Diceros bicornis minor: one gene and its partners. The protein of the gene in region 1 purifies or fractionates together with the protein of each later gene. This does not show direct contact. Links are inferred from orthologs where the notes say so. Each region holds a gene or a part of one and is shown in the gene's direction. Other genes may lie near its edges.

Region 1 (7,755 bases):
TATAGAAAAAAGGGAACTGCAGAATGAAAACACAGTTCAGAATCCTGATATCAATTGCAGGGTCAACCAAGAAGACCTTTTTAATAAGTTAAAAAGGACAGATTATTTTTCCATAATCTCTGTAGACAGTATTACTGACCACTTGGGACAAAGCTATAATGCTGTCACTTCAAGAGGCCAAAATGCTGGATTATTTTTATTCTCTGTGAAAAAAATCCTGCTTTCTTCATTTCTCAAGAGAAAGAGTCTAAACTGGTAGCCAACGAAATTCACTTCAAACAAGTTTTTAAGTTTCTTTCTTGCATAACACTATTTGAGAGAAGCAGACCAGGCTCAACCTGCCATTTTCTAATAACTCAGATTTGTTACAAGGATTGAAAATGAATAAATGTTTTGAAAACAGAAATGGTTAATTAGGAGAGACTAAGGGGGTAAAACCTCAAATGTTATGTTCGTTTTAAAATTATTTCATCTTAAAGCTGCTATTAAAAAAAAATCCTAATTGCCTAGTTACTAAAGTCATCCCTCAATATAGCATATAAGTTAACAGCAATGCCTCAAGATTGCAAAAGGACATTAAAACCATGTAGTCATTTAGAGGTACACATACACACAAAGAAATAAAAATCTTCTGGAATTAAAAAAAATGCAGCAAACATCTGATTTTGTTGGATACCATCTCCAAGTCAGGCCTTACAATTTCCATTAATCAAGATACTTGGGTATTGCACCCCGTCGGATAGCTTTCTGCTTCTGTTCAGTAAAAGCAAGTAAGAATGGTAGTAGGAAGAGTGGAGAAAAATTGGTGTAGACAAAAGCTTATTAGATACTGATCCTAGATGAAAACCAGAACAGCTATGTCCATGAAGGTAAGAGGTTAACAGAATAAAGAGGATGACAAAAATAAACACAGAAAATGAAAAGGACAAAAATACTAAGAAAAAAATTGGCATAAAAAATGAAGTATTTACTACTATGGCACTCAAGCTAATTTCAAGGGCTCATTTGTTTCTTTTCAAAAGAAAATTCATTCACTTTACCATTTAAATTATAGCACACATCTCACAACACTATTTTAAAATGAAAAGTCAAATAAAAACTTTTAAAGTTGTCAATATGTGATCCCCTACAAAAGAATATTTAAATACCAGTAAGTTACAGACATTGAAAACTATCAAATTATATGCAAAAGCAACTTAATTTTAATGGAATCATCTATTTGCTTGCTTTCTGTATCTATACTCATCCTCAAAGCCTCATGAACAGCTAGTTCCCTTCCCCACCAATACTTGAACACAGGTGTTCATAAAATCAATTTATTATCTCTACTTTCCTTTACTGATTATGGAATTTGAAGGACACTTCCATCCTGAGGGGGCACAGAACATGCTAAGAGCTTTTCCCACTGATGGCTTTGATGGAACCATTTGTGCCACAGAGACTCACCACATAGGCTTTATAGTTGTTTTTGTTTCCCAGGAAATTTGACTTAAATGGGCAAACCTATGATGGCACAAATTAAAATCACCAACTTGCCCTTTTAATTGTGAAACCCAACAGACAATACAAACTAAAACCAAATGTTTTGCTTTATTTAGATATTAACACTCACCTTTATATGCTTTCGATTATTATTAACGCAGTGTTAGAATTAAATACTGTGGGAACCGTAACTGAATTTCGTGTTTTTTTTAAACTTCTAACTTGACATGGCTTTTACACATTTGCAGAACTTGTAATGAAGCCTGAGAATGCAAACTTTGGATTTAAGAAACTGCTAGAGACCAAAAATTGCTTGAAAGATCGAGTCTTTTCTCCTTCCTGGACATACATGATTGTGTTCATTTTGTGTATTACCAGAACACTGCAATTATTTAATTTTAAGGCCCGTCTGACTTTAGAATAAGCAAGTCTGAAATATGACAACGTGATGAAAGTAATTTGGAAGATTCACTTTCTGCCCCAATCTAAGTGTACAAGGTGCCTGTTTTTGACACTGGGCAATACTGAAAATACTTGCTTTCTCTAGAATTCAGTACAGTGATTTAGAAAATATTATGCCAATCAACAAGACTTTACTGCTTTCTCTATGCTTGTAACATATTCTTTCATGTTACATAAATTTGTGCATTTGTATTTCAAGATAAAAATACTCATTAAAATTCACATTGCGCTATCCTCCCAAGATTAGGTTTCTTTCAATGAATTAAAACACTATCCAGGCAAGTCAGTAAATATCTCAATGTAACGACTTCGTTTTGGCCCCTAATTCTCCCCATAACAACACTGGGGAGAGAAGGGACTGGGGAATACATATAGATGTAAATTTCTGAACCACAGAGACGCAAAGTTATAATTTTTGGGGAAAAAATTTTGAGTTAGATCCTTACATATTTCAGGTTTTCATTAACTTACCAATGTAGTTTTATTGGAGGCCATTTTTTATTGCAGACTTGAAGAGCTATTACTAGAAAAACGCATGACAGTTAAAAGGAAGTTTGCACGACACAAAAAAGGTAGCTAAATACAAGTTTTGTTTGGATTCCAACCCCCACCTATGTAGCCCATATTATCAAACATGTATACAAATCCATACAAAAGCAGATTTAAGCTCCTGCGTAAATTATTAGAGAGAATATGCCTGAGAATATATCAGTGTTCTAACAGCGAGTCTAGAAAACCTTACTGAGGTCATTGGGACTTGAAACAGCTTCGCTGGCCGAAAAACAGTAGACAAATATGTTTTTTCAATTCAAATGCCATTTATACATATTCAGTATTCTTTACAAAATGGCCAAATATTTTGGTTCAAAATCGGACAATTTCCTAAACTACCGTGAATTTTTCGTCGAGACCTCTTAACAGTCCAAAGAGTCGCCTATGTAATCCCAACTTGGTTTCTTCTTAGAAACCCTCCCTCTTCCCAATCACTAGTTAAAACACTAAAAGAAAAACACACTGAGATGCTTCAGGCCCATTTCGTGCCACTTTTGAAAACAAGTCACCTCTTCGGTACGTCCATATGCTCCCAAGCCCCAGGCCCCACCCTGCTGAATGCGGCCTAAACGCCGGGCGCCCGCCCCCCACCCGGGAGCGCGGGCCTCGTGGTCAGCGCATCCGCGGGGAGAAACAAAGGCCGCGCGCGGGGGCTCAAGGGCACTGCGCCACGAGGCTCGCGCCTCGCCCCCGGCGGCGGCCACATAACGGAGCGCCCGCCGCAGCCTCCAGGAAGCTGGCCGCGCGGATGCGGGAGAATGCACCGCCCTCCCTGGAGGCCCCAGTCGCCGGCCAAGCCCGGGAGGGGGAGGAGGGCCCCTCATCGTGATCCGGGATGGGGGAGGGGAGAGGAAAATGCGCTTTGTCTAGAAATAAGGCGACTGTCGCCACGACTCTCCACCTTCTCGGGGACAGTCTCGTCCCCCACTTAACTACAGGCGTCGGCGCAGCGCCAGGCCCGCCGCGGGGTCTCCGCTCGCCTCTCCGCTCCTTCCCACCAGCTCCCGACTCGGGGTCGGACGGGAAGCAGGGGCCAGGGGGTGGGGAGCTGGGGCGCATGTGGTATGTTAAGCGCCACCACCGAGTGAGAACTAGAGAGAAAGAAAGACACCGACTTCACCGCCTCCGAGCTGCTCCGCGTCCCGGGTCTGCAGCGTCTCCGGCCCTGCGCGCCTCCAGCTCCAGCCACATCCGAGGGGGAGGGGGCTGGGGAGCAGCGCGCGGGGCGGCCGCCGGGGGGGGGGGAGGGTGGCACCGCCCACGCCGGGCGGCCGCCAGGGGCGGGGCAGGGGGCGCGCGCCCGGCGGGGGGGAGGGGCCGCGCGGCGCCGCGCCCGCCGGGAGCCCGGGCCCAGGGGGCGGGGGGGAGAGCGGTGGCGACAGCGGCACTTACCGTTCGCGGCGTGGCGCCTGGTGGTCCCCGGAGGGGAGGAAGAGGGAAGGAGGGGCGAGGACGCTGTCCAGAGTCCTCTCGGCGGAGGCGTTTTTGCTTCGCAGCAGCAGCCGCTGGCGCCAAAACCGGACTCCGCCCACTTCCTCGCCCCTGGGGGTGCGTGCCTCCAAACGTTGGGGGTGAGAGGATGAAGATAAATTTGGGTGGGGGGAATCGGACACTGAGAAAGAGTGCCCCTTTCGGACCACCCTCTGCAAAGACCTTTTCTGAACCCGAGGGGTCAGTCCCAAAGACGTCGGCCAGGGTTAGGTTGGTGGAGGGTGAAGTGTAATTTGTTGACTACAGTCGCTTCGGGTGTTTCCGGAAGGGGCCGAGTCAGTCCTCGGCGCAGGGGAAGGGGGTGGGGGAGGGAAAACGCAGGGGGGAGGCTACAAAGATTTTTAAGGCGGGAGAACGGGGGCGAGGGGGGGCGGATTATCAACGGCGTTGCTGCAGGGACCACCTCCTGGGCTGAGGGGGCTGGACCTGAGAGCTGCGGATTAAGCTCCTCCCGGCAGCGTTCATTTCAAACTGCGCGACCGTTTCTTACCTGCCCTGCGCTAAGGCGGGGGCTGGACCCAATTCGGAGAGAGAGAAATACGCAGGACTCGCGCCTTCCGCAATTCACTGAGCCCATTTACGCAAGTGACGTCAAGCACCACCGCTGGCCGCAAGGGGGGGAGGAGTACGTACTTGGCGTAAGGAGGAGGTAGAGCGTTCCCGCCATTGGCGGCGGTTAGGGCGTTTACGCAACGGCCTGACGTAGGGGAAGACGCGTTAGTCGGGGGGAAGGTTCTAGAAAAGCGGCGGCAGCGGCTCTAGCGGCAGTAGCAGCAACGCCGGGTCTTGTGCGGAGGTGCTCTTAGCGGTGTTGTTTCTCGAGCAGCGGCAGTTCTCACTACAGCGCCAGGACGAGTCCGGTCCGTGTTCGTCCGCGGAGATCTCTCTCATCTCGCTCGGCTGCGGGAAATCGGGCTGAAGCGACTGAGTCCGCGATGGAGGTAACGGGTTTGAAATCAATGAGTTATTGGAAAGGGCATGGCGAGGCCGTTGGCGCCTCGGTGGAAGTCGGCCCCCCCGCCTCCGACGGAGAGCGGCAGTGAAATCGGGCCACTTAAGAAGCGGTTGGTCGCAGGATATTTTCGAAGAGGGCTGTTAGCGGAGGCCTGATTGTACAGCACCTTCCCCACCCTCAGCCTCCCGGCGCCATTTCCCTTTGCTGGGGGTGGGGGATGGGGAACTTCCACATGGCGGACGCGGCCCGCGGTAGTGAAAGCGGAGCGCCGAGGCGGCAATTCTTACTCCCCTCGTGAAGCACGCCGATTGGGGGGCCCCGGCGGCCCCCGTTTGAGCGTTTCGGCGAGTTTCGGGTCCGCGTGAGCGAGGCTGCGGAGCTTCCCCTCCCCCTCTCTCCCGGGAACCGGATTTGGCGGCCGCCATTTTCATTTCTCTCCTTCCTCGCAGCATTTTTCTTTTCGACCTCTGAATTCTGCTAGTTTGATTCTTTTACCGAAGAAGAGAAGTGGTTAACTAATTTTCTTTCTTCTTGGGCTGTTTTCATGCCGTTTCGAGGTGGATTCCGAGGGTTTTGTGAGCTTGGATCTTTAAAGTCCTGCGCACCTCGTTAGAGGCTCCCTCCCTTCCCCTCGATGAAATGGCGCCATTGCGTCCAGAAGCCGCAGCGAGCAGCGGGCGGGGGGGTTCCTCCGGGGCCCGGGCGCGCGGCGTCCGAGGAGGTAAAGCGAGCGAGGGTGGGGGGCCGGTTTCAAGCGAGCCATCGTACAAAGAAGACATTTTGTTTTCCAGTCCTGTTTCTTTGAGTAACGGTTTTGTTTGGGCCTGCAGTGATGAAAAAGACAGTTGAATCGCAGGAAACTTGAGAAATAAGTCAGAATTTGGAACCGTCAGATTACTACCGACTGCGTGGGTGGCAGCGGGGAAGGAGGTGGGGGGGACTTTTTCCTGAAGGATTCCCTTAGAATGGTAGAATTTATTCCTTTTTTAAATACTATTTTTTCTGGGAAATGTGATCTTTACTGGATAAGACTACGGATCCTTGTAAATGATGTTAGAAATTTTGAGGAGAGTGAAGAAAAAAATTGAGTTTATTCTTAGTGGTACTTCGGTTAAAACATGGCTCAGTCCTTCAGTGCGTGTATTGCTGTATACAGAACTGTGTTAGGCTAGGCCGCTCTGTATTTGAACTTTGTCACTTTTCTCATTTATGTTTGCAATCGTGGTTGATCATTACATTGATAAGCATAAGGTCTCAAGCGAAGGGGGTCTACCTGAGTATTTTCTTTGACCCTAAGCACGCTTAAAAAATAACTTTGTTTGTAATCGATAGTGGACATCGGGTAAGTTTGGAAAAAGCAGAGGTAAGTAATGAGTTTTTGCCTTTTGTTGGTGATGTGTAAAAATTGTTGTAGATGTGCTTTTTAAAATTTCCGTAATTTGGGTTTTAAAAGACGTGTTTACTGACAGTATTTGGTGTAAAGTGAAGAATCCAAATATCAATATGCCGTATAATTAACCATTTTGGTAGTTTTAAGTAAACATCTCGGGAGCTAGTTTAATAGTTTGTTAATCTTTTAAAATTTTTCAGAATCCTGAAAATAGTTAACTATGTAGGAAGAAAATCTGTAAATTGTTTCTTATCGCTGTATTTTTTGAGCTGTTGGGAGAATATCATGCGTTGAAGGAGAAACCTCCATAGAACTGTGGGTTGAGAGCTGTAATGCTATTTGCTGGGAATAAGTTATCGCCTGTTGTATTGAAAATTATATTTTACATTTTAATTTGTATTATACACTTACAGCAGATTGTCCTGGACGTTATGATTTATTGGGTTTCTGAATATTTTTAATTTTTTAACCTAGTCACCTGGAAATTATAATGATGCATTCTTTAACTGAGAGTCCCAAATACAGGGCTATTAATGCAACATAATTGCTTGCTGGTTTATAGGGATTAAAAAATTTCAGCCTAGCCTTTTTTCTTTTTTATTTGTGAAATTAGATGTAACTTGTGTAGTTTGCCAGGTGGCCACTAAGTTAAATACACTTGAGGTTTCGGGTTTTTTGGTAAATGAATTGAAGTGTAAATGATAGTTAAATATGTAACTACTGAATAGTCACAGTGGTCATTTAAACGTTTTTGTGGTTTTTGGGAGAAAATGATTACATTCATTGTATTTATGGTTATTGGTCCAATAATCGGATTGTTTCTGTACTGTCATTTAAATAACCAAACATGGGGGTGCCCACAAAAAGTCAGTTATGTTAAAACTTGAAGCTTTAGACACCAACGGTCATTAAAAAAGTCTGCCTTGGTCAGAAGAGAGGTAAATTTTAAGGATGTTTTGGAGCATATACTGAAGGTTTGAATTTTTTTCCCTAATCGAGAGTTGGTGTATGGGAAAGAATGATCTTTACCAGGGGGTTTTTTTTTTTTTGATGAGATGCATTAGAATCACCACCAGAGGGAGCAATGAGGGGAAAATGTCACTTTTCAGATATACTGAATCCAGAAGTAAATGGTAAACTATGAGTTATAAGTAAGGAACCAACAGTTTTTATGTTTAAAAAAAAGATTTCAACTGAGCTTTTAAAAGTTAACTTTAACTTCTCTGTGGGATATAGGATTGAATGCTAATTTTGATGAGAATCCTTTAACCCTTCAATGACCAGGGAGTAGATTTGCTTCTTTCTCTTCAGAAAGTATTTTTAAAAATAAGTGATAATAAATTTGTTTGAAATAATTTAATGTCAAGTAAATTTAGATCAAGCATTAATGACTTTGAAACTTGTGTAGTTCAGCTGAGGCAAT
Region 2 (7,841 bases), on another chromosome or scaffold:
CCTACCTCCATGCCTGGATCTTACTGTGTCCGTGGTCTTCAATGCCTTTTCTATCTTTCATAGCCCAGCTGAATTTTACTTATCCTCTACCTTTCAGCTCAGGAGTTATCTCCTTCAGAAAGTGTTCCCTGAAGCCCCAGGTTGTGCTAATGGTCCTATCCTGTGCACCCCAAACACTCTGTGTTTTTCCTATCTGATCACTTGCTATAGTTTAATATACTTCATCTATTTAATGGAATGTATGTATATGCTCCTGAAAGTCAGGGAGAGCTTCACTTTATGCACTTTATTTTTTGTGAACTGAAACATATATACTGACCTACTAGGGATTCAGGAATGCCCTCAAATCAATTTCCATTTTATTGATAGCAACAGCATCTGCCTATATTGGAAAAACAACAGTATATTACATGTGAAATATTACTTATTCTGTCCATAGATAATACTTGGTATTTATATGAGTTCACAGATTTCCCTGGAATAACTTTTTGCCCCCCAACACAGTGCTTAGACACTGTACTTACCAAAAAAATTCTATCAAAGTCACTGTTTAAATGAGTATAACAGGAATGAACCACATTTATTAACAATGACATGACAAACATACATGAAACAGGATGGGACTAGAACTATTATTTCAACTACTAATCTCTACCCTATATAACAATCTAACAACCTACTTTAGAGATTAAGAAACTGAGCTTCAGAAAAGTTAACTGCCTCAGAATCAAACAGCTGGTAGGTAAGTGCCAAAACTGGGGTTGGAACCTAGGTCTGTCTGATTTCCTGATTATGAAGACAATTCTAAGTTTTGCCATTGACTTTTTTGTAAACTCGGGAGCATTATTTTATCTTCTGATTCTTCTATTTCTTGGTCCATAAAATAATAACTGTGCTAGACTGTAGTGAAAATTAGTTATTTAAAGTGCCTCCACCCCCAGTATAAACCATCATTGTTTGTACACTGAGAGGCATAGGTACATATATAATGAAACCTATATTTTTATCTACCACTCAGAAGCTTAAAATCATGCGCAGGGGGAAACAGTCTGTTACTCTATCATCTGTGTTGTGTTTTCTAAGCTATTAATGTGCTTATGACACATTAAGAGCAGTATAATAGTTTGCTTTAAATTCTTTAAGTAGCTATCTTTTGTAGCTGTCTTCCCTGGTCTTCTCAGCAATCCACTGGAACAGGAAAAACGTTCAATATTTTCAAAAATTAGAGAATGAATGTGTTAGGCGCTTTCTTCCTGTTAAGTTTCCATTTGTTTACTTAGCATATAATTATTAAAATTAGGTGAGACCTTTTGGTTTCCCTAGTCCCAGAAGAACACTTAGGTGACTTAAACAAAAAAGTATCAAGAATGTAAACTGTGTAATTAAGCCTTGTCTTGAGAAATAATTTTGAATCATGACAAGGAAGATCACTGCTTTCTAAAGACAGTAGATATATATGACATAAATCAAAGAATAAGCATTTCACAAAACCTTTTTCTGTGTGTGAGGAAGATCAGCCCTGAGCTAACATCCATGCCAATCCTCCTCTTTTTGCTGAGGAAGACTGGCTCTCAGCTAACATCTATTGCCAATCTTCCTCCTCTTTTTCCCCCAAAGCCCCAGTAGATAGTTGTAGGTCATAGTTGTACATCCTTTTAGTTGCTGTATGTGGGACGCCGCCTCAGCATGGCCGGAGAAGCAGTGTGTCAGTGCGCGCCCGGGATCTGAACCCGGGCCACCAGTAGCGGAGTGCGTGCACTTAACTGCTAAGCCACGGGGCCGGCCCCATTTCACAAAACCTTGGTAAGACAGATTTAGTGTTCAAAACACATTAACTACCTTAACTAGGGCTAGCCCGGTGGCGCAAGCGGTTGAGTATGCATGCTCCGCTGCAGTGGCCTGGGGTTTGCCGGTTCGGATCCCGGGCGCGCACCGACGCACTGCTTAGCAAGCCATGCTGTGGCGGCGTCCCATATAAAGTGGAGGAAGATGGGCACTGATGTTAGCCCAGGGCTAGTCTTCCTCAGCAAAAAAAAAGACGAGGATTGGCAGATGTTAGCACAGGGCTGATCTCCTCACAAAAAAAAAAAAAAACTACCTTAACTAGACACACTCCTAGAAACTTATTTGTGGGTTTTGTTATATTTTTAGCTTATTTGCTTTTCAAATAGGCAAAAGATTATGATAATCCAATTTTTAAGTTATTTTAGAATGCCATTGGGGCTATGTGAACAACTACCTTAACCAATTTTCAGTTAATGTACCTTCCCTCCTACCGAAGAGCGCAATCTCTTTTAATATCTCTTTCTCTCAGGCTCTGCATGGAATTTTCCTCTCCTCTTCATCCTGATGGTGTAATACATAACCACATGTTCATTACCTTGTTTTCCTCTGGGTGGTATGGGTACTTCTATTTCCTTCTCCTTTTTCATCTTTTCTCTCATTATGTCCTCTAACAAGATCCTCTCTAGGGTCCCTCTGATCTCTATGCTAATAAGAGAGCACTGAAATGACCAAAAGGAAGACAAAGGGAAAAAAATCCCAAAAGCAGCTGGGAGCCCTTAGTTCTAACCATCTCTATGGAAACAATTCCACAGAGATCAATCGGGAAACAATTCTGTAGGGATCACTGGAGCAGCGGTGAGCCAATCTCACCAAGCCTTACTCACAGGATTCAACTTGAAAATGAGAATAGTTGATAGATATATTTTTTTTTTCAGAGAAAAGTAGTAAAATAGGAAGCCAAATAAAAATTAGGTTTACCCCCATATGGTGTACTTTTTTTTAACTCAAAACTTCTTACTTGCTGTAATAATAAAAAAGCAAAATGAATGCACGTACTAATGTCAAGTCCTTCCTAAGCATTAACACTGGCAAACAGCGGAGTGCCCAATACAAAGAAATTGTGGCAAGAAAACATTGCAATTTGGTGCTGAAAAGTCATTAGGATGATTTTAGGAGTGTGGCCCATAACCATACAAAGTAAGTATGCGGAAAGAATGCCAAACTCAATCAGGCAGTAAATAGATTGCTTGAACTCAGGCAAGGGTCAAAGAGATTACAGAATTCCATCTACCAAATCAGGTTGGAAGACTGAAGGGATCAAGTAGTGATGTAACTTGAACCCACAGAAGAACTCCATTTGAAGTGTGGGAGCTTGGAGTCTTGCTAATACAGAAATTATTAAAAAAAAGAAACGGGGGGGGGGCTCACAGGGTCAGTGACACGAGGACATCAAGTTTAAGGCCTGTTCAAAAGTCTCCAGCCAATCAACTGTTAACTGCAGGTCTCCTGACATTGTAACTCCAGTGTTCGTTAGGTGAAGTAACTTCAATTTGCCAAAAATGATTTTTGTTCCCTTAATGCATGGTTAAATTATTTGTAACCCTGAGAAGGTCCACAGTACTTTAAAACCCTGGCCCCTGGCGTAAAACCATTTGGGTTCAAATCCTAGCTTCTGCCACTAGGTGTGTGACCTTGGGCAACCTTTTTCACTTCTTTAGAACTCAAGCACCTCATCTGTAAAATGGGGATAATAATTATCTTTCAGGATTGTAGAGTCAGTGAATTGAGCACAGCACCTAGCTCAAGCAAGCTCTCAATAAATGTGAGCTATTTTTAGTACATTATCCTGGTTTTGTTTTTTTCTCTCTTGTAATGAAGACAACACTGTTCCTTCTCCCTTTCTCTGAGGGGTATTTTGAGAGAGTGGGCTCAAGAAACGCAGTAGGGCTCTATGACCTAGCCAATTCTTAGTGTCCCACACTTGTCTTAAGCATGTTAGGATGAATTAAAGCCATGAAATGGAAGTTTCCATTATAAGAAGGTAAATGACCTCCTGTGTCCACCCTACACACTGCAGATCTCACAGGGAGAAAAAATTATTCAAGCTTCTCCACTGCTAACACCCCATGCGCCCTCTCATCCCACCCTAGACGGGCTTCCAAATGTCTGTAGTATAAAATCCAAAGTCTTTGGGTGGATACTGAAGGTCTACAAACTAGTTACGTCCACATTTCCAAGCTACAGGAACATCTCTGTGCTGAAACTCACTTCCTTTTCTCCTTCACTTCACGTACGTTCCTACGTTTGCTCTTTAACTTACATGGATCTCTTTAGCAACACTGCCCTGCACCTTCCCACAAAAATTCGGCTTGCGTTTTTTTCAATAATTAAAAAAAGTCCATAAGATGTCACTAGGAACCTTGGTGGTATGACAGCACAACCAAAAAGTATTTATTAGGTGTCACTTGTACGCACAGTTTTCAAGGATGCAAAGCTCTATTTAGAAAATAACCCAAAGTCGGCCGCTGACGGCCGACTGGTTACTAAGGTTACAAAGTGGAAGATGCAAGAGAGAACGCTAAAGCGAAAGGAGAAAGCGAGGAGCAATTTGTAGCGAAAGGCCGTAGGAAGGAAATCCATCAAGCCCCCCCACCAGACCCACGGTGGGTGGGGTTGTCGGCAGCGCCACGGCCGAGGGAAGGAGAAGCCCCTGCCCCAGAGCTGAAATCTGGGCCTGGCGGACACTTTTGTATCTTCGCAGCACCGAAACACGCCCATTTTTACTGCATAATACAAACATGGTGGACAAAAGAAGCCGTCCTCGCGTTAGGCGGCCGAACCACGTGGTGCCCTTTCCACGCAGGTGACGCTGGGCTAAGGGCGGGGCCTTTACGGAATTTGTTCTTGGTGGGGCAGAGTACCACAGAACTTTTCCAGATCGCGACACCACGGTTCCGTCAACTACACGCTCGCAGGACTACTGCTGCCACTTCACATTCTCCCCGAGAGGGCAGAACAGTGAGCCCTGAGAATTAGATGGTTTTACGGTAAGCAAGAAAGGCCGAGTTACCCGCCTTTCGCTAACCGGGGCAGCCTCGGTTTCTCTCCACCTCTCCCTCAAGTGGTCAACCCACCAGCGCGCAAGCGCACTTCGTGCTTCCCGCTCCAAGGCGGGACCGAGTCTCTTGTCTCGCGAGAGAAGGGCCGGCGGTCTTCGCCGCTCTCGCTCCACCCCCTCCTTCTCGCTCGCTCTCTCCCATCCCCCCCAGCCAGTCGCTCTGCTGCGCAGCTCCCTTAGTGGTTGCCACGGCTGGAGACGGTTGGGAGAACCGTTGTGGGGAGCGCTACACGAGACGAGCGACTTCTCCCTTCTCACGACCAAACCCCGTGAGCAGCGGAGTCGGCGTTACTGTCGCCCGACAGGGTATCTGAAGTAAAAGGGGGTAGGTTGGGCTGGTGGTTTCGAGAGCGGAATCGGGAGAAGGCCGAGACTGGGAGGGGGTGGGGTGGGGGGGAAGTGTGGAGGTCGCCGCTCGGAGGCGGCCAGCCTGCGCCTCCCAGGCGATCTCCCACTTCAAGGAGGGCGGCCTGCCGGCGGGAGGACTTGCTCACGTGGAATTCAGTGGACGAAGCCGAGACCCGAAGTGGGAGTCACCCAGCATTTCCCCTGTTTCCCCGCTGGTTTGGCCTCCGCCATTTTGGGTACGGTGGCGCGGCCACCTCGGCTTCCCGCCCTCCCCTCTTTCTGCTTTTTCACCCATCAGCTTCCGAAAACTGATTTAGAAGGCCCGGGGGTGGTCAGAGAGCCCCGGAAGGGATATGGATGGGGAATGAAGCGAGCAGGGAAAGGTTGGGCGCTTGGGGCGGGGGGAGGCTCTGGGCTGGCGGGCGCGCTCCCGATGGAAATGGCGCCGGATGGGCCTGGCCTCCCACCGCGGCCTCCCTTCCTCCGCAGTCTCGGCAGGGCTACCTGGGCTGGCGGGACTGCGAGTGACTTCTGACGCAGATTCCCAAGATGAGAGAGGCTGGAGCTGGGGGAGGAAGGCCAATGGCGACGAAGGCGCTCAACTCCCAAATCCAGGACAAAGGAGGCAGACGGGCTCCTTTGTAATTCCGCCGCCCGGTGGCCAAGGTTTTTAAGCCAGGCTTGGCTGCCGGACCGGGAGGGAGGGAAGGGGGGGACTCTCCCTAGCTCTCTGGTCTCTAGGGCAGCTAGATAAACGGAAAGTCTGCGGGGAGGAATAAAGGACGCTTAGCCGGCCCTTATATTCCAGATTTGGAACTTCGAAAAGAGTACGTACTTATTTTCCAAAGGGTTTTTTTTTCACGCTTATCTTAACCGTATAAAGACTTTGTGGGTAATTGTTTTGTAAGCAAAAAAGCGGGTGACTTATCAGATAGGAATGTGAAATGGGCATATTTCAGACAGGTCGTCTGGGCCCAGTGAACCATGATACGTCTTTTTGGGCGGGGATGGGGTGGTTTAGTAATAGTTTTGTGTGGTTTGGCATATATTGGATTAGAATTTAAGTTGTTAGAACACAACCAGAGATGGCAAAAGTGTGTGTGTGTGTGTGTGTGTGTGTGTAGGAATTAAGCTATTGACTTTCAACATTAAATCTCCAAGAGTTGTATTTTGGGCAAAGATTCTTCTGGCATTAAGGCTGTAGAAGTAAAATACTTCGAAATACAGTTAGTTTATTTTGGTAGCTAAGCATGTTTTTTATTTAGCGTAGGACTGTAGTAATATTTTGACCGAGAAAAGAAGCCTCCTGAACAGAAAGACAAACGGGAAGCCCAGTCGTGTGATGTGATTTTTAGTCCTTAAGAGAACTGGGTCGGTAATTTTCACCGAAGACGGTACAAAAGACATGCAAGGCCTGAAAATAAGAGTTTCCAGTAACGCATATGAATCTTTACGAGAAGTCTGTTGTCTACTTTTCCAGCTTTAAAAACAAAAAACTTTCCTGTTGAAGACATTCTATGATTTTAGTGGACTTTGAAAAGACAGCCCAGAGTTTCCTATAAAGTGGTATATGATATAACAGCTTTCCTAGTTGGATTACCGTAGAAACTTTTTTTTCTGCCGTCTTCATCTGCATTATAATTTGGAAATCCATCTAATTGCCTTTGCATTTTTAGTAACCATGGGTTTGTTTTTTTTTTTTGGTGTTCTTATTTTGGTAAACAAGTGGCTGAACTGCAGTAGGTGGTAACTTTGTTCTAGAAAATAACTCATTGGTAATCATTTTAGAGATCTCGCCTCCTTTAGATATTAGTGGTGTGTCTACGGTTTTTTTAAACTTAAAATTAAGGAATAAGCACATTGGAAAGGGGGAATTATATAAAATTTCCATTTTAATTATATCACCACATTCGTGCTGAAACTTGCAGTTCATTCTCATTTTTTAGGACCCGTGGGCAACCACTTAAAAATTGATGCATCAAACCCTTACTTTATGTATTATACTTTGGAAGGTAGTATATGCCTCTATGTTATAAAGGAATTTTATATTTCATTTGGCTCTTTGTTAGATGCTTTTTAGTAACAGCTTAGAGATAATTCACATACCATGAACCTCACTCTTAAAATCATACAATGTGTGGTCTTTTGTGACTGGGTTTTTTCACTTAGCATAATGTTTAGGAAATTATGTGTAAAATCTCATGTAAAACTGACTGAAGTTATCCTAATATTTCAACTGCTGGTATTTTTAATTGATGGTAACACTTGGAATTCTTAAAGCAGAATTGTGATTAGCCGTGACACTGTTGCAAAGAAAGGTTGAGATGGATTATCCTGAATAATTAGCAAACTCTAGTTTCTGAGACAGCTCCATTAAGGTATTAGAGCTGATTGTCTTTTTGTATGCCTTTAGAGTAAGTAGAATTCTTTTAGACTCAAATTTGGAGTTTTGAAGAGATAATCGAGTGTGGCTGTCTCTTTTTATTGTGTACTCTCCATATGCATGGGATGGAGAGTCACCCTATAAATTAGTCTGTCTTCCAAATCTGGTTAACTTTACCCCCAATTTAAAATTAACAGTTTAGTGTCT
Region 3 (7,824 bases), on another chromosome or scaffold:
GACTGGCTTGCTGGCTCCGCTTCCACCTACCGGGCTGCGTGATGGAAACGGGGCTCAGGTCACCCAGAGAGGGGCGTGAACGGGAGACGTGGAGGGAATACCCAGCTCAACCAGGCAGAAGGGCATGGACGGCTTTGGAGGAATGAGTAGAACAAAAGGGGAGATGTGGGGATTTCCACTAAGGAGCTGAGACTACCCCACTTCTGCAATTCACTCTCTTGCCTGGAGGAATTCAAACGCAGTAATGAGATTTAGATGCTTTAGAACAGAAAATATTCCAACAGGAGCCGACCATACCACTCTGTTAAAGTACAACAGCCAGAGACGTGAGGGCCCTGAGGCAGCAGTCCGGGGTGGCGGGTGGAAGGCAGAATCATGGCTTTGACTCATGTCCAGGACGGCCCACAGGAGACAGGGATGGGCCCTCAGAGCCCGGCCGTGACATGAAAGGAGGCAACACCTCACCGGCGGGAGTTGAGACCTCATGAAGTCCCGAAGCTGTCCCAGCACAGCACAGGAGGGAGGGGCCATGGTCCTGGCTTCAACTGAGGGGCAGCTCAGGCTGCTCCAGAGCACAGGCAGCCTCACCGCCCTCTGAGGACTGCCTCCACCCAGGTGGCCCGGGCCAGCTTCCCCAGACTGAGGCCTCAGAGGGCATCCCTGAAGGCAGAGGGCAGAGGGCAAAGGGCCAAGGGCTGACCCCGCCCTCTGGAGAAGGTGGGGCATTTACTCTCTCCTGGGCTGCAGCCTCAGTCCTCACTAAACAGGCCAGCAAGCAGACCCTAGATGGCAGAACTGCAAAGAATACCCAGCTATGTGGGCACAGAAACCTGAGCAAGAACCCAGATGGATGAGCATGTGCCCAGTGGCTCAGAGGGGTCAGAGCATGGCAGGTCCGGAGTGAGCACCCCTTCCACCAGCCTCCACCAGACAGCCTCTTGTACACATTATCTAGTTGACAGAATTTAAATAAAAAATTATTTTTATTGGGGCCGGCCTGGTGGCCTAGTGGTTGAGTTTGCACACTCCGCTTTGGTGGCCCAGGGTTTGCAGCTTTGGATCCCGGGCGCAGACCTACAAATACAAACCGCTTATCAAGCTGTGCTATGGCAGGCGTCCCATGTATAAAAATGGAGGAAGATGGGCACAGGTATTAGCTCAGTGCCAATCTTCCTCACCAAAAAAAATATATATATATATTTTTATTAAAAAAAGAATTATTTAATTTTTATTTTTATTTTATTTTTTTGGGTGAGGAAGATTGGCCCTGAGCCAACGTCTGTTGCCAATCTTGCTCTTTTTACTGAGGAAGACTGGCTCTGAGCCAACATCTGTGCCCATCTTTCTCTATTTTGTATGTGGGTCGCCTGCCACAGCATGGCTTGATGAGCGGTGTGTCGGTCTGCATTCCGGATTCGAACCAGTGAACCCCGGGCCGCTGAAGCAGAACACACAAACTTAACCACTATGCCACAAGGCTGGCCCCTATTTAATTTTTAAAAATTATTTTAAAAATTCTATTTATAAAAAAGGATAAAAATCCTTTTTTTTAAAGGAAATATTCAAATACTTAAATGTGTGTGGATGTTTAATTTTAAAAGAAGGGGAAAAAGATCCAGAAAGATGATTATTAACTGCGGTCACCAACTGGAACAAGTGCATGAGTGGGAACTTCCACCCTGTACTCAACGGTGTTGACGTAAAATTTAATTTTTTGTGGAGGAGGGTATATTTGACATTTCAAAAAGTTTAAAAAAGGGGGAAAAATAGTTTCCTGTAATCCTACAAACCACGGTCAACACAGTTAATGCATCATCTTCTCTCTGGGCACACCAGTGTTACAACAAAAGCTTGAATAGTGTAGAAGGTTTAAACTTGATTTTAAATCTTTTCTTCCTAGTAAACAGATCAAACAAGCACGGCCTTTTGGTTTCCATTATGGGAATAGACATCTGTATGAGGTAAGGTCATAACTTCCAGAACACCAGGGCCATTAGAAATATAAACACCTGTAGTTATAAACTTGTTTCTAGAACGTTCTAAATAACAAATGCCTTATTTTAGTTAAATTAAGCTTTGCTCTCATTTTTCTCACTTAAAACAAGAGCGGAGTGCGTCCTTCCCCATCATCACAGCAACAGATACGATGCCAAAGCCTCGACCACTGGGGCCCCTCGGGCTCCTGCCCACCCTGGGATCAGGCTGGGGTGGAATGGAGCTCCTGCTTTGCCCACCCCTTCACGTGTGTCCTGCGAGCCCCTCCAGGCAGTCCCCCACAAGCGAATCTCTACCTCAGGCTTTGCCCTAAGAAATCCACCCTACAACTGAATCTAGCAAAGTGGGCTGAGTCCCATGGAGAGGTGACATCAGAATCACTGGAGGGGGAGGACCAGGCATGTGGATTTTTGGAGTTCCTGTGAACAGAGCACTTAACTGCAGTTGAAAACCAGTGCCCTAGAGCTTGGAGCACCCCAGCTCCAAACAAGGTCTACCTAGCCCCAAATGTGCCCCAGGTACATCAGAGGAGACACAAGGGCCTTAGGGTTCCCAAGGAAACTTGAAGAAAGCAGTGTGGGGCAGCCCCCCAGAGAGCATAAGGCACAGCGGGCACCTTCCTTCCTGGCCACCTTCATCTAGAGGGAGAGCCCACTGGAGGCTCCTCACTCACCCACCGCACCTGCTGCCCAGTGGTCTTCTCCGTCCCGCCATGGTTCTCATCACTGCTGGCCCCATCCTCTTCCTCAGCTGCGGTGTCTGCGCTACTGTCACTGCCGGAATCTTCCAGGCCTGAGAACACACTCTCCTCACTGTCAGAGAGGCCAGAATTGCTGCCATCCCCGAGCGGAGAGGTCGGGAGGTCACAGAGGAGAGAGGGCTGCAAGGAGCACAGTGTTGATGACAGCCAGACCCCACAGCCCACCCACCAGCCTTGCCCACCAGGCACCATGCACTGACCCATAGGTCTGTGTTGCCAGCCTCCAAGGCCACAGCCCTCAGGTCACAAGCCTCCACCTCCACCAAAACCATCCACCCAACCCAGGCCTTCCTCACCATCCACCTCTGCCAACAGCACAGCTGCCTGCCCTTGGAAGGAACATTTAATTGCTAGCATCTCACAGGGGAAGGACTTTTCAAGAACAATGTCCCCTTCTTAGAGCTCGGTTCCATTGCATTACCAACACTTGCTCTCCATCCTCTGCACCCCGCCCTGGCATTCAAGGCCCCAGAGCTATGAGGGCAATAGGGCAGGGGCTGGGGCCAGGAGAGGACCAGAACCCCTGAGGGGCTTTTCCCACTTGAAGTAGAAGCCTCCATATCCAAGCAGACTAGGACCAACAATTGATCAGTAAATAGTAACAGTCGGTTCAAGAGTGATAAAAATGATGTAAGCTTTACTTAAAAACAAGAATACACCCATTCACCCCCTCGTAGGGTAGGACTAGAGCAGAGCTCTGCTGACTAGACACCATCACATCCCTAATTCTACAGGACACAACACAGTGGGCAGGCCCAGTGGTTGTCTTTTAAAAGTGGAACAAGAACTTGTAGACTTAGAAAGCATTTGAGTGCAGAATCCTACATTTCACTGTTTCTCAACAGTTTAAAAGTCTCTCACCTAACTGGACATCTGGCACTCACCAGTTATTCCACAGCACTCGACTTAGTTTTCATAGAAGCAACTCTGATATACACTCCCTCCTGCTGTTTATCTCCAATATCTAGTTAGCTACACAGCTGCAAGTGCTCCTGGTGAGCAGAGCCCAGTGGTGGAAGCAGGCAATCTTGGCGCCCAGACCTGCCTGCTGGCAGGGAGCAGCAAGAGGACAGGTCACAAGGCAAAGGGGCAGCCTGACAATCCAGCTAAGTGGAGTCCGCTGAGAGAGGCTCGACTGTACATGCCTTCTACGACCCAGATTTGATGACACCCCCACAACCGAGCTGGGGTTCAGCTGAACAGCAGGAGCGGCTACGAGTCCAGTCAAAAGGATGTGACTAACGCAGCAGGCACTGGGTTCTAGTCAAGCTTTCTTATTCTCATATTTTCATTAACTTTTACAGTGGATCTAACATACTAGCAGTGTATAAACATATAAGTATTTAATAAGGTGCAAGCTCAAATCTTCTTAATAGCAAGATGCATAACTTAGCTGCACAGGACACCAGCTCTCCTTCCTGTCTCTCCTGCGCAGACTGTTCTTCCGCCCCGCCCCCACTCCAGCCGCCTCTCGCACAGGGGGTGCTCTTTGCCCAGTAGGCCCCCCACAAGGCCACCTGCTCCAAAGGACAAGCGACCCTTTCTTCCTCTCATTCCCAGGCCCACCGCACGCTGGGCGGGCTTGCCGTGGGCCGAAGGGCCGAGAAGCCACCACGTGCAACCCCCGCCCCGCCGCCCTGCTCCCGCTCCAGCTCCGCGCAGCCCGCTGTCACCTCCTCCGGCGCCAGCGCCGGCTCCGGCTCTGGCAGCCGCTTCCCGGGCCGCGCCCTTCCCGCCGCCGCCGCCGCACACCCCGCAACCCGCGCGCCCGCCATGCTCCCCGGCCTGTCCCGACCCGCTCCGCCACTTCCGGCAGCGGCCCGGTCGCGTGGGCCTGGGGGCGGGGCTCGTGAGGTCAGAGGGTGCGGCCTGCCCACCCCGCCGGGTCTCATTGGTGGGGCGGGGCGGGGCCAGCACGCGCAGGCGCGTGGGCGGGGGCCAGCGGGGCGGGGCCAGCGGGGGCGGGGCGGGGAGCCAGGGGGAGCAGAGCCGGCGTGCGCGCGCCGGGGAGACGCGGGCGGGCGGCGCCGGCGGGAGCGCGCCCGTCGCAAGATGGCGGCGGCCATGCTGGGCCCCGGGGCTGTGTGTGCGCAGCGGGCGGCGGCGGCGGCGCAGCCCGAGCGGCAGGCGTGGCGGCGGTGCTAGCCGAGCCCTCGGCACATATTCGCGGTCGCCACCTCCGCCTCTCCCCGCCTTGCCGGTATGGATCTGTCCGTGGGCCCCGGCGCGGCGGGGCCCAGTAACGTCCCGGCCTTCCTGACCAAGCTGTGGACCCTCGTGAGCGACCCGGACACCGACGCGCTTATCTGCTGGAGCCCGGTGAGGGGCCGGGGCGGGACGCGCGGGGAGGAGCAGAGCCAGGCCCCCGCCTCGCCGGCCCGGGAGTGGGGGCGGGGAGTCCCGAGGGAGTGTTCGGAGGAAAAGCTTCCGAGGCCCGCTCTTCGTTGGCTCCTGCCCACGCCGTTTCTCTGGGGTGAGGAGGGAGGGCTCCTCCTTCTTTGGTCTCTTGCTAACTGCTGGACAACTGCGGAAGTGTGTCTGTCCTCAGAACAGCACCCAGTTTCGCTGGCGAACGTTGTGCCCAGGTGGCCCTCTGTGTCTTCTCAAATGAGTTACCAGGGTGGTGTGGTCGGCAGCTATGCGGGGAAAATCAGGACTTGGCGCATGAATCGGAGGGCGTTGCTCTAGTGCAAAAGGAAAGGGAGCGAAAGCAGAAAGTAAAACGTCATAAAGTTCAGGTTGACCTCGAACCCGTGTCCAAATACCAGAGCTGCGTTTCCCAAAAGCGGCTTTGTTTTTCATTCCTCACAGGGCGTCTTTATTCACGTCTCTGTCTCCAGTTGCCTGGCAGCAGGCTGGTTTACATGATCTGACCCTGCAAGACCGGACAGCTCCGGTTTGCAGAGGTAAATCAGAGACTGTGTCTGGAGTTGGAGACCAGAATCTGCTATTCACATCCTGGCTGTGACGTCGTGTCCGGGGAAGGCCGGAGCCGTCGCCCAGGGCTGGCAAATGGGTGGCCTAGAGAAAGGCCGCCATGGTCGTGCAGAGCTTCTGGGCACCTCCAAACATGCTTGAATCTCCTGAGGGCCAAAACTCCCGCTTTCTTAGACTCTGCTTACTAACTACTAAGTACTTCCCTTTCACACTCTTTAGCCATTAGGAACAAAAAAAAATGCAGCTTGCCCTGAGTTGTAGGCCAGGTTCTCTCAATCTTGGGTTGCCTGCTGAAGCTCTGCTCTGCCTGTAGAGCGTTTGGGAATAAAGAGTCTAGAAATCACACAGCCTTCTTATTGGAGACACTTTGTGTTGGTCCCAGTGACGTCTCCATGTGGGTATCCTCCGTTCCCCAGTGCCTGTTTCTTTAATGGAGGGCACAAGTCCCAAAGAGGGGCAGTGTGCTTTCCCACAGGCTGTCGTGTTACCACCATCCCCTTGTTCTAGACCTTGAACTTTCCTGACCAAAGGAAATGACCCCATGTTTCCGTCTTCGTTTAGCCTTCCTGTCCCCTCTCTTTCGTTCCCCTTAACTCGCAGGAAACACTCTTACTCAGTTCAGGGAGGGGCATCAGAGATCCTCTGGGATATTCCGAGCTTAATCCTACTAGATTGATCCTTCCTGCCCCTTAATTTTCTTGCTGTTTCTGCTGAAAGAGTGTGAGGCATGTGTGTGAAATGCCACCAGTGTACTCTCCAGGACCTGCAGCCTGTGTTCTGGGCAAGGCCTTCGAGCAGGAAAGTCGGATATGATCAGGCCTGTGACAGCCTCCACGCACAGTGGCCACACTGCTCATGAGCCCTGTTGGTGTGTTCTCCCTTGGGGGGATGGGGAGCTGGCTGGAGCTCAAGTATTTGATCCTACCTGGTCTGTACGCCGGTTGAGCAGGGTGTGATTGGTGCAGGACACAGCAGTGGGGGTGGCCCTCACAATGAGTACAGAAACAGCATTAGCTCAGCGGTGAAAGGAAGCCCTTTTCTGGTTGGGCAGGGGTTGTGGAGCTGCCCGGGCACAAGAAAGAAGGTGGTCCTGTGCCGGTGGCCTCGAGGATGCCCACACAAGCCCCACGGCCTTTGTTAAAAAAGTCCACACAGGGACTTGTGCAGACTCACAGCCCAGAGTCCAGCTCTCAGAGGCCTTGGAAGACTGATGTCCGTGCTCTTGGTGCTGTAATTTTCTCACCCACTATTCTGCCAAAAGAACCCCTCTGCGTTTGACCCAGGGGACCAGGGGAAGTCAGAGGTGCGGTGGCTGACTCTCAAGGCTGATTGGGGAGGGCGCTTCCAGACCCAGAAACTCTGGCCAGTAGGGCCAGGTTCAGACAGCGTTGTGCTTCCTCTGCCCAGCCTGAGGGCCACGCCAACAAGTCACTGCCCCTAGAGAGTCGTGTTGGTTTTCCCACCCCCTAAACCCTTCTCCAATTAAAGATGCACTCGGTATGGTGTTTCAGCTCAATAAGCAAGGGCCTTCAGAGATGTAGCTGATCCCCGGACAGGTCCTGCAGGACACTGCAGCTCCCACTGCTCACGGGAGGGAATTATGGTGACTGTGAGTGTGGCTTGGGGATGCGCCGCAGCTCTCCTGACCTATAGTCTGTGCTGTTTCCTCTGCCTCCCATGCCCGCTGGGACGCTCCATGAATTAGGCCTGCCTGGGTGAGGCCAGGAGGTGCCCAGGGGCACAGTTTAAGGAGGCACTTCTTTTTAAGCCCATCTGCACCTGGAGGCCCTGAGATTGAGGGCCTCCTTAAATTTTGGCGGTTAGCGCCTCTCTGGCCTCACTGTAGTCCCAGCCTGATCAGTGCAATTCTCTTCTCTTTGGGAGCAAGAATGACCCCAACAGGGTTGTGTGGGGGCTGGGGGAAATCCCAGAGACCTAGGAACTGGAGGTCACTGAGGCCAGGGCCCGTTCCAGGTGGCTGGTATGAGTGCTGGTGGTCAGAGGGTTACTCTGGAGCGGTTGGGTCTCTAGGTGGAGAGTTGGGGGCAGAGCAGTCCTGCAGTTAGGTTGCCACCTCCCTGTGAAACCACTGAGGAGTTGACCTGGTCACACCTGGGCCCTCAGAACTGGCC

Evidence for each region.
Region 2: the proteins of HNRNPA2B1 (region 1) and HNRNPH3 fractionate together in Homo sapiens (co-fractionation; 3 studies listed by BioGRID and IntAct, with this or other methods). This does not show direct contact. The link is inferred for Diceros bicornis minor from reciprocal best matches to the Homo sapiens genes HNRNPA2B1 and HNRNPH3.
Region 3: the proteins of HNRNPA2B1 (region 1) and HSF1 purify together in Homo sapiens (affinity purification with mass spectrometry; 3 studies listed by BioGRID, with this or other methods). This does not show direct contact. The link is inferred for Diceros bicornis minor from reciprocal best matches to the Homo sapiens genes HNRNPA2B1 and HSF1.

What each region holds. Positions count from the first base shown.
Region 1 is NC_080742.1:51,188,809-51,196,563, reverse strand, and holds the start of HNRNPA2B1 (heterogeneous nuclear ribonucleoproteins A2/B1), read left to right. Parts: upstream 1-4,736; 5' UTR 4,737-4,922; coding exon 4,923-4,928; intron 4,929-7,755. Other genes in the region: CBX3 (chromobox protein homolog 3), read right to left, coding at 2,416-2,439. UniProt on the Homo sapiens protein: Heterogeneous nuclear ribonucleoprotein (hnRNP) that associates with nascent pre-mRNAs, packaging them into hnRNP particles.
Region 2 is NC_080745.1:37,596,760-37,604,600, reverse strand, and holds the start of HNRNPH3 (heterogeneous nuclear ribonucleoprotein H3), read left to right. Parts: upstream 1-4,762; 5' UTR 4,763-4,832; intron 4,833-5,058; exon of another isoform or gene 5,059-5,228; intron 5,229-5,690; exon of another isoform or gene 5,691-6,078; intron 6,079-7,841.
Region 3 is NC_080760.1:56,887,886-56,895,709, forward strand, and holds the start of HSF1 (heat shock factor protein 1), read left to right. Parts: upstream 1-4,821; 5' UTR 4,822-4,957; coding exon 4,958-5,074; intron 5,075-7,824. Other genes in the region: ribosome biogenesis protein BOP1, read right to left, coding at 2,669-2,875, 4,429-4,821. UniProt on the Homo sapiens protein: Functions as a stress-inducible and DNA-binding transcription factor that plays a central role in the transcriptional activation of the heat shock response (HSR), leading to the expression of a large class of molecular chaperones, heat shock proteins (HSPs), that protect cells from cellular insult damage.